2 linked regions of the Danio rerio genome follow. The main gene of each other region encodes a partner of the protein of the gene in region 2 in a complex. Links are inferred from orthologs where the notes say so. Each region holds a gene or a part of one and is shown on either strand. Other genes may lie near its edges. The genes, in order: stac3 and cacnb3a.

The links.
Region 1: cacnb3a (region 2) and stac3 share a complex: the UniProt entries of both Homo sapiens proteins name them as parts of the calcium channel complex. The link is inferred for Danio rerio from reciprocal best matches to the Homo sapiens genes CACNB3 and STAC3.

The regions. Positions count from the first base shown.
Region 1 is NC_133184.1:263,276-267,652, reverse strand, and holds the start of stac3 (SH3 and cysteine-rich domain-containing protein 3), read right to left. Parts: upstream 2,994-4,377; 5' UTR 2,846-2,993; intron 603-2,845; exon of another isoform or gene 511-602; 5' UTR 467-510; coding exon 450-466; intron 371-449; coding exon 292-370; intron 1-291. UniProt on the Homo sapiens protein: Required for normal excitation-contraction coupling in skeletal muscle and for normal muscle contraction in response to membrane depolarization. Required for normal Ca(2+) release from the sarcplasmic reticulum, which ultimately leads to muscle contraction.
Region 2 is NC_133198.1:15,636,259-15,640,837, forward strand, and holds the start of cacnb3a (voltage-dependent L-type calcium channel subunit beta-3a), read left to right. Parts: upstream 1-1,460; 5' UTR 1,461-1,708; coding exon 1,709-1,789; intron 1,790-4,579. UniProt on the Homo sapiens protein: Regulatory subunit of the voltage-gated calcium channel that gives rise to L-type calcium currents. Increases CACNA1B peak calcium current and shifts the voltage dependencies of channel activation and inactivation.

The sequences.
Region 1 (4,377 bases), on a different chromosome or scaffold from region 2:
CAAGGCTTAAAAATGACTAATATTTAATCAAATCAAAAGTGATGGCAGAGCATTTTGATTTCCGGCATAGGTGGGTTTATGCAGATTATGAATGAGGGAGCACACACCCTTTATTTATTAATTAATTTAGTTTAATAAGTTAAACAACAGTTCATATTTAAATATATCTCAGTTCTGACAAGTGTTTGTGAATAGGGTTTTCAGGAAGCTTTGTGCTACACAAATAATTCACTCCTGTATTTACAAATGTGTGTTGAATGAGAGCTAATAAGAGAAGGTGATCATACGTACAGTGTTGTCGTCCTCTTTCACCACATTCTCTGGCGCTGGAGGGTTATCGTGGATGTCCAGCGAGTCTTTATCCTCCAGTCTGGAACACATTGAGCATTAGGATAGCTGTAATCTTATATAATGCTCCTGAAAGACTGTTTAATCTGTCAAACACTCACTGGTCATATTGAGCCATCAGTCCAGCCTCTTCAGACGCAGTCAGTCAGCAGAAATCCGCACCTGCAGGAGACACTCACCAGCTTCAAGAAAACTCCAGCTTGTGTACACCTGCTCTCTTCATGCGTTTACTCTGATCAGATATCTGTCTGATTCTGAAAAGCGTTTACATTAACCACTAGCAACCCAGCAAGCATTTTTTGTTTTTAAAAGATGTCTAATAGATGTCTGATAGACGTCCAAACAATGTCATCTCAGCTCAAACAAGGATAAACTTGGGCTGAACATCTAATAGACGTCCATAGGTTAAAACTAGACTAGCCATCAAATAAACAGAAATGAAGGACTACACATATAGAGTCTGTCTAATCTGTCCACTTGACGACTATAGTCTAGTTTTGGGCTATTCTTAGATGTCTATTAGATTTTCACTGACAGCCCAAGTTTAGTCTTGTTTTAGCCAAGCTGTTTATGCTTAGATGTCTATTAAACGTCTATTAAAAACTAAATTGTGTGCTGGGAAGTAAACCGGTGTGTAATTCCTGCAACGATGCCCACATTTTCTCAAAATAGATCAGAGAGGGAGCATGCAAATGGAAAATAACAACGGGGCCAAAATAGAGCCCTGGGGAACCCCACAGGTCAGTGGAGCATCCTGTAAGAAATGTGGATCGTCATGTGCGCATAATATGTGGTTTTAAACGAGAGCACATCTCTCATGCACATCAGAACACCTCCTGAAGTGGTCTGAGTATTCATATCTCTCTTGACAAATCATCATAATTATTAGATTCTGACTTGTAAACACATGTTTGTAAAGTGCTATGATCACTGACATATTAGCCGCTGTGATTAGGTGTTTCCAGTGGTGTAAAGTAACTAATTACAAATACTCAATTTACTGTAACAAAGTAGTTTTCTCAGGAATTGTAATTTAGAGAGCAGTTTTATAAATGTGGGCTTTTACTTTCCCTTGAGTACGTTTACTGCAGTATCTGTACTTTTACTCCACTAATTTCCTTCATCCTGCAGTCACTACTGTATTTTTTCTTGTCTATGGAGATTAGAGAGATCAGTCCTGTGGTTCCTGTCTGATCAAATCACACACTGAAGGTAAGTCACCTCATAATGAACTACCTCAAGATGATTTATAATTGCAGCAAACTGTTTAGAAGCATTTAAAGTGCATAAAAGAAGATGTCCACAATCTTCACACTCACTGACCCAGAGACTGTTTAGATGCACATCACTGATGAGAAGATGGCAAATGTTTACTATATGATGAGCCAAATGGCCTTAAACAGCCAGCAGGCACAAGACGTCAACATGACGTCAGATTGACCTTGTACACTAACATCTTGGAGACAGTGCATTTTGTTTGGAAGTGAAAATCAGTTTGACGTCAGAACTCAATGTCAGGCCAACGTCAATGTCTAACGTTAAACCTGAAATCAACCTAAAATCAACGTCTAATGATGTTACAGCTTGACGTTGTGTGGACGTTACCACTATGACGTCTATCAGATGTTGGATTTCGGTTGCCATACCTGATGAAATAATATCAGTATGTGACGTCAATGTGATGTTGGTTTAAGGTGTTGGCGCGACATTAGATTTTGGTCACTTTCTAAAAACCTAAAATCAACCAAATATCAACGTCATTTGATTTGCACTGGTTAGAAACTGAATTTTGGTTTCCCGACATCACAACTTAAATCTAACCTAATATTAACGTCTTATGACATTGTGTACCTGCTGGGCAATCACTAGATGCACTACAGAATCTTACGTTTACACACACACATGTGCAAGTTACATGTAAACGCATCAGCTTTTCACAGTGTAATACTCCCTACTCTTGAGTACGTTTGAAAGCTATACTGAGTAATATTTACAGCAGACACTTTTACTCTACTGCACTACAGTTTTAGGCAAGTATGTGCTTGTACTTAAGCATGATTTTACTGTACTCTTTCCACCACTGGGTGTTTCTAATGTTGACCTTGCAGTGCGAAATTGGGAATCTGAGGATGTCCACTCCGTGTTGAGACAGATTTCTGGTTCTCTTATTGAAAATAAAGTAATTTCAGGGTGGCGAATGCAGTGCAATGATCATGTCACACCCTACATACACCTGTTTATTATGGAATAAATGAACACAAAAAGGTTTCACAGTTAATTTGTACACATGAGAGCATGATGAAATCCTCAAATCCACACACACAACTTCTATATCTGAGTTGGAAACTTTTTTTGAGGCCAACAAATTCAGGATCTCTCACTAAACTGAGCTACAGGAACAAATCAGAAACGTTTTCTAGACTATACATAGAAAAGATTTAAATGCACACAACCACTAAATCATGCCATCAGAACAAGCAAGTTCAAGCATACACACCTGTAGATGATGTGTTTCTGTGCTATAATCCCAGTTTTCAGTCAGTGAGGTGTGACCCTGATACAGATAAGTTAATATTTGCTTCAGCACAGAAGATAATCTTAACTCAGTAATAACCAGACTGCTCTGAACTGAGGATTGAACACTTTGTGTGTGTGTGTGTGTGTGTGTGTGTGTGTGTGTGTGTCACTGTGAGTGTTTTCAGCAGGTGTTAGATGACGGAGAGTAATACGAGTCTCTCTGTATATCTGTCCCTCTGACAGACAGGCACACATGCAGACCTTCACACACTCACAGCAGGCCTGCAGCTGAACAGCACCTTTTTACTAAACATTATGACTTCTCTAATGTCACACAGTAATAAATATATTTAATTAATTCATTAATGAAGAAGCACTTTCTAGCCAAGTGAATAAAACTCCAGCTCTTCTACAGTGTAGATTGTGTGGCAGCAGCTGAACACAGAAGTTCTAGTGAACTGAAGCCGTGTCAGTCCAGTGTTCAGAGCTCAGTTCAGTTCAGTGTGGTTGAATCTTCACTGCTGAGAGTCCAAACACTGAAGAGCAAATCCATCCATGTGCATCTCCACAAGTCCCAAACCAAGCAGGACAGTGGCGACAGAGGAGGAACTTCACCAGTTGACCAATTGAGGCTGGAGAACGCTGGACGTCCATCCTGGAGAAGCCGCAGGTGTGAGTGGGTCACCGGCTGGTGTTCGGGCTGGCCCTGGGGAAAAAAAATGTGTTAGGTTCCTTGGGGTCCTCCAAACATGTACAGACCAATCACAGGAAATATATTAATTTATTCATTCATTTTCCTTCAGCTTAGAGGTCGCCACAGCGGAATGAACCTTATGGATAGGGTGAGGAGCTCTGTCACCTGGGAGGAGCTCAGAGTAGAGCCGCTGCTCCTCCACATCCAGAGAAGTCAGCTGAGGTGGCTCGGGCATCTGTTTCAGAAGCCTCCTGAACGCCTACCTATAGGCCTCGGGGCAGACCCAGGACACTAATTGCTACACTGATTGCTAAATTTACAATAATGGATATACTAAACAAAAGATTGAGAACATGAGCTTCATTTTCCAGCTTTCATCATATCTCAAAAAACAAAAATGACATATTCATACAGTAGCACATCTCATCTATTACTGTGACTCTCTGGCTCAAGTGCCAGAAAATAGGATTTAGCTTATTAAAAGCTTATTTACGCCAATGTTCAGGGGCTTGTGGCAGCTGTTACAGCTTTATTCCACAACAGCCACATACAATTCATACATTCAATAAGCATTTGGCAAACACGTTTATTCAAAGCAACTGAAAATGAGAGCAATATGAGTAATCAAAACAACAATATACCAGAAATAGGTCAGTAATATATTTCAGGTGTACAAATCTTTCTGGGTTTTTATGTATAATGATGATGATTATGTGATTATATATATATATATATATATATATATATATATATATATATATATATATATATATATATATATATATATATATATATATATATATATATTACACAGTATC
Region 2 (4,579 bases):
ACAAAGGAATTTTCTGTAGACCTCAGAGAGAGGATTGTCTTGAGGCACAAGGCTGGGGAAGATTACAGAAAGATTTTTGCTGCCCTGAAAGTTCAAATGAGCACAGTGGCTTCCATCATCCATAAGTGGAGGATGTTTGGAACCACCAGGATGCTTCCTAGAGCTGGCCGGCCATCTAAGCTGAGTGATCGGGAAGAAGGGCCTTAGTCAGGGAGGTGATCAATACCTCGATGTTTACTCTGTGTGAGCTCCAGTGTTCTTCTGTGGAGAGAGGGGAAATTAACAGAAGGACAACCATCTGTATAGCAATCGACCAATCAGACCTGTATGGTAGAGTGGCCAGATGGAAGCCACTCTTTAGTAAACGGCGCATAGCAGCCCACCTGAAATTTGCCAAAAGGCATCTGAAACGAAATTCTCTGGTCTGATGAGACTAAAATTGAGCTCTTTGGAGTGAATGCCAAACGTTACGTTTGGAGAAAACCAGACACCGCTCATCACCAGGCTAATAGCATACCTACAGTAAAGCATGGTGGTGGCAGCATCATGCTGTGAGGATGCTTTTCAGTAGCAGGAACTGGAAGACTAGTCAGGATAGAGAGAAAGATGAATGCAGCAATGTACAGAGACATCCTAAATGAAAACCTGCTTCAGAGTGCTATTGACCTCAGACTGGAGCAACAGCTCATCTTCCAACAGGACAATGACCCAAAGTACACCACCAAAAAATCAATAGAGTGGCTTCACAAAACTCTGTGAATGTCCTTGAGTGGCCCAGCCAGAGTCCGGAACTAAATCTTATTGAACAGCTCTGGAAAGATCTGAGAATGGCTGCAAACCATCGCTTACCATAAAGCTTGAGAGGTTCTGGAAAGAGGAAAGGGCAAAAATTCCCAAAATAGGGTGTGCCAAGCCTGTGGCATCATATTCAGAAGACTTGAGGCTGTAATTGCTGCCAAAGGTGCATCAACAAAGTATTGTGCAAAGGCTGTGAATACTTATGTACATGTGATTTTTCAGCTTTTTCATTTTTTAAAAATTTTCAACAATTAATTTTTTTTTCACATTATCATTATTGGGTATTGTGTGGAATATTTTGAGGAAATAAATGAGTTTAATCTGTTTTGCTATAAGGCTGTAAAAAAATGTGGAAAAGGTGAAGCACTATGAATACTTTCTGGATGCACTGCATAATATATATATATATATATATATATATATATATATATATATATATATATATATATATATATATATATATATATATATATATTCCTTTAAATAGGCTAAAGATTTCTGGTGACTTATGAGTTGTAGTTTGCAACATTGTATGGAAGACTAATATACATGATGTACAGTACAAGAGAGGCAAATATAGAATGCTCTGGAGAGAGAGAGAGAGAGAGAGAGAGAGAGAGAGAGAGAGAGAGAGAGAGAGAGAGAGAGAGAGAGAGATCATTACAAAACGCGCATGCACAAGAAACAGACACATTGCATTTGTCCACCTGTATTACTATCTTGATTTACGAAACCCAGCGCGAGGGAATTAATCAACGGCTCCGTGCGAATGCAGTCAAACAGAAGGCGGTTTTCCTGTTCAACCGTGATACTCTCTTCTTCCTCGGCGGTCATGTGTGTTTCGCATCGCTGTTTCTTCCAGTAAGCACCAATGCATGCATGCACCCGCCTCCCCTGCGCTCTCAAATAGATGGTGCAAGTAAAGATGTCCAAATCTTCCGCAGACCCTCTGTCTGGGGTAGAAAGCGCTTCTCAGTCGCACTATTTCCAGGTAAGACTTTTGGGGGGGATTTGTATACGTTGTCGCAAATGGTTAATTTGCTGCTACTTGTTGTTGAGCAGTCGTGCATTTAAGCGCTTCATATATCCGCAGAGGGCTACAGCTACACAATCTGCCCGTGTATAACGCCTTTATCGCGCTTTTAATCAGACGCGCGCAGTTTTAATGAGGCGAGATGTTGATCAAATGTGTTGATGCTTCTCCATCCGCCAAACTCACATTTCTTGTTTTTTTCCCCTCCGCCCTGAGATTTCACACCGCAACCGAGGCCTCATCTTTCGGGCCAGGCATCAGTAGACACAGTGTTCATTAAACAGTTCAAACACAGTCAATTTCTACTGAGTTTTGATAAACGGGGTTACAATCTCGTTCAATACTCTTATGGTGGACCATTGTCGGTCAAGGTTCTCACCTGTAGCCAACATCCGTCCATTGGTCACCTGTTTCTGCTTGAAATTATAGATTAATCTAGTTGCTGTGTTTTTAACCTGTTAGCTGGTAGGTCTGCGTTAGCTATTATTTGGTTAAAATAGTATTATTTAGTTCATGAATCTTATACGGATAGACCACTTTGGACTGGCATCAACACTGTATCAACTGGTCATACTAGTTCAGGAGGTTTTTTGGGAATTTATATGGTCAGTTAGCATCAAAAGTTAATCATGTTCCTCGGCAGAGCTACCATCTTAACCTGATTTTACAATACGGTCTCAAGGCAGTTTGTTAATTTTGACTTATTTTTCTATTTTGGGGAACTGGTGGCTACATTTTAACCAAATTGCTGTTAGTCAAGATGGTTAGCTTTAGAATAGACAAATTTTCTGTAAACTGAATAGTTCTGAATGGTTCTAAAGAAAAGAAAAAAAAACATCGTATGACGAAGACAAAGTACAGTCAGAATCTAGACTAATTTTGCTGTAACTTACACAAAATAGTTTTTAATCATCCTAATGAAAAACATCAGCTGACTAAAACAAAGTACAGTCAGAATCACTCATTAAAAGTCACTAATTTAATTTCTGTATGGTAGACCCTTACTGGTCAAAACAAAAGTCTCACTTGTGGCCAACACCAGTCCATCGGGCATCTGCTACTGCTTGAAATGATAGATTAAGCTTGTTTCAGTGTTTTTGAACATGCGAGCTGGTTTCTGCACACCTAATTTGGCTATTATTTAGTTAAAAATACTTAATATCTGGTCCAAGCTTGTGTGTAGACCACTTGACTAGCACCAACACTACCAGCTGGTCATTCTGGGGTTCAGGTGGGTTTTTGAGAAACGGTATATGGTCAGCTAGCATGTAAACAAAGGTTAATCACAATTCTCAACAGAGCTACCATCTTAACCTGGTTTTACAATACGGTCTCAAGGCAGTTTGTTCATTTTGACTGATTTGTCCATTTTGGCGAACTGGTGGCTAAAGTTTTAACCAACTAGCAGTTAGTCAAGAGGGTTAGCCTTAGATTAGACCAATTTTGCTCTAACTGACACAAATAGTTCTGAATGGTCCTAAAGAAAAAAAAAATTACATGATGAAGACAAAGTATAGCCATCTAGGGATTAGTATTGTTAAATAAAGTTTAAAAATCACTCATTCAAATCCCTTATGGTAGAGTCCATTGGTCACCTGTTCTTGCTTGAAATGCTATAGATTAAGCATGTTGCATTGTTTCCGAATATGCTAGCTGGATTCTACACACCTAAATTGGCTATTATTTGGTTCAAAAGAGTAAATATCTCCTCCAAGCTTGTCTGTAGACCACTTTGGACTGGCATCAACAGTGAACCAGCTGGTCATATGGGGTTCAGGTCGGTTTTTAGGAAATGGTATAGGGTCAGCTGCATGTAAACAAACGTTGATCACGTTGCTCAACAGAGCTAAGCTGATTTTACAATACGATCTCAAGGCTGTTTGTCCATTTTGACTTATTTGTCTATTTTGGTGAACTGATGGCTACATTTTAACCAACTAGCAGTTAGTCAAGAGGGTTAGCCTTAAATTAGACCAAATTTCCTGTAACTGACACAAAATAGTCCTAAAGAAAAAAACATTAGATAACAAAGACAAAGTAGAGTTAGAATCTAGGGATTGGCATTGATGAACAAAGTTAAAAAGTCCCCCATTTAATTCCCTTATGGTTAACCCTTATTTATATATATATATATATAACCTGTCTCATTTGTAGCCAACATCGGTCACCTAGCTGTTGTTGCTTGAAATACTATAGATTAAGCTAATTCCAGTGTTTTTGAACATGCTACCTCATTTCTATACACCCAAATTGGCTATTATTTGGTTAAAAAGAGTAAATATCTGGTCCAAGCTTGTCTGTAGACCACTTTGGACTGGCATCAACACTGTACCAGCTGGTCATACTGGGGTTCAGGAGGATTTTTGAGAAATGGTACTGTACATGATCAGCTGTTTAGTTTGTAATTAATTGCCAACATACTGTAAATCGCAAAATCACAACTAACATCCTTACCTGATTTTAGAATACAGTTTGTTCATGTTTGACTTACTGTATTTGTGCAGTTTTTGCTGAATTGGTTTGTATTAATATTTACAATCTCATTGGTATGTTTCATTTAATCTTCTTAACACCTCATTTAAAGTTATGTTTAGGATTTTCATGCTTTATCTTTTGCAAATCATGTTTTTAAACATGATTCAATTCAATGAACTCAAATTAAATCACCACTGTTTTAGACTATTTTCTTCAGAAAATGTAGCCATTATTTTAAGATCTTTCCTTAAGAGCTAGTCTAACAAACTAGCA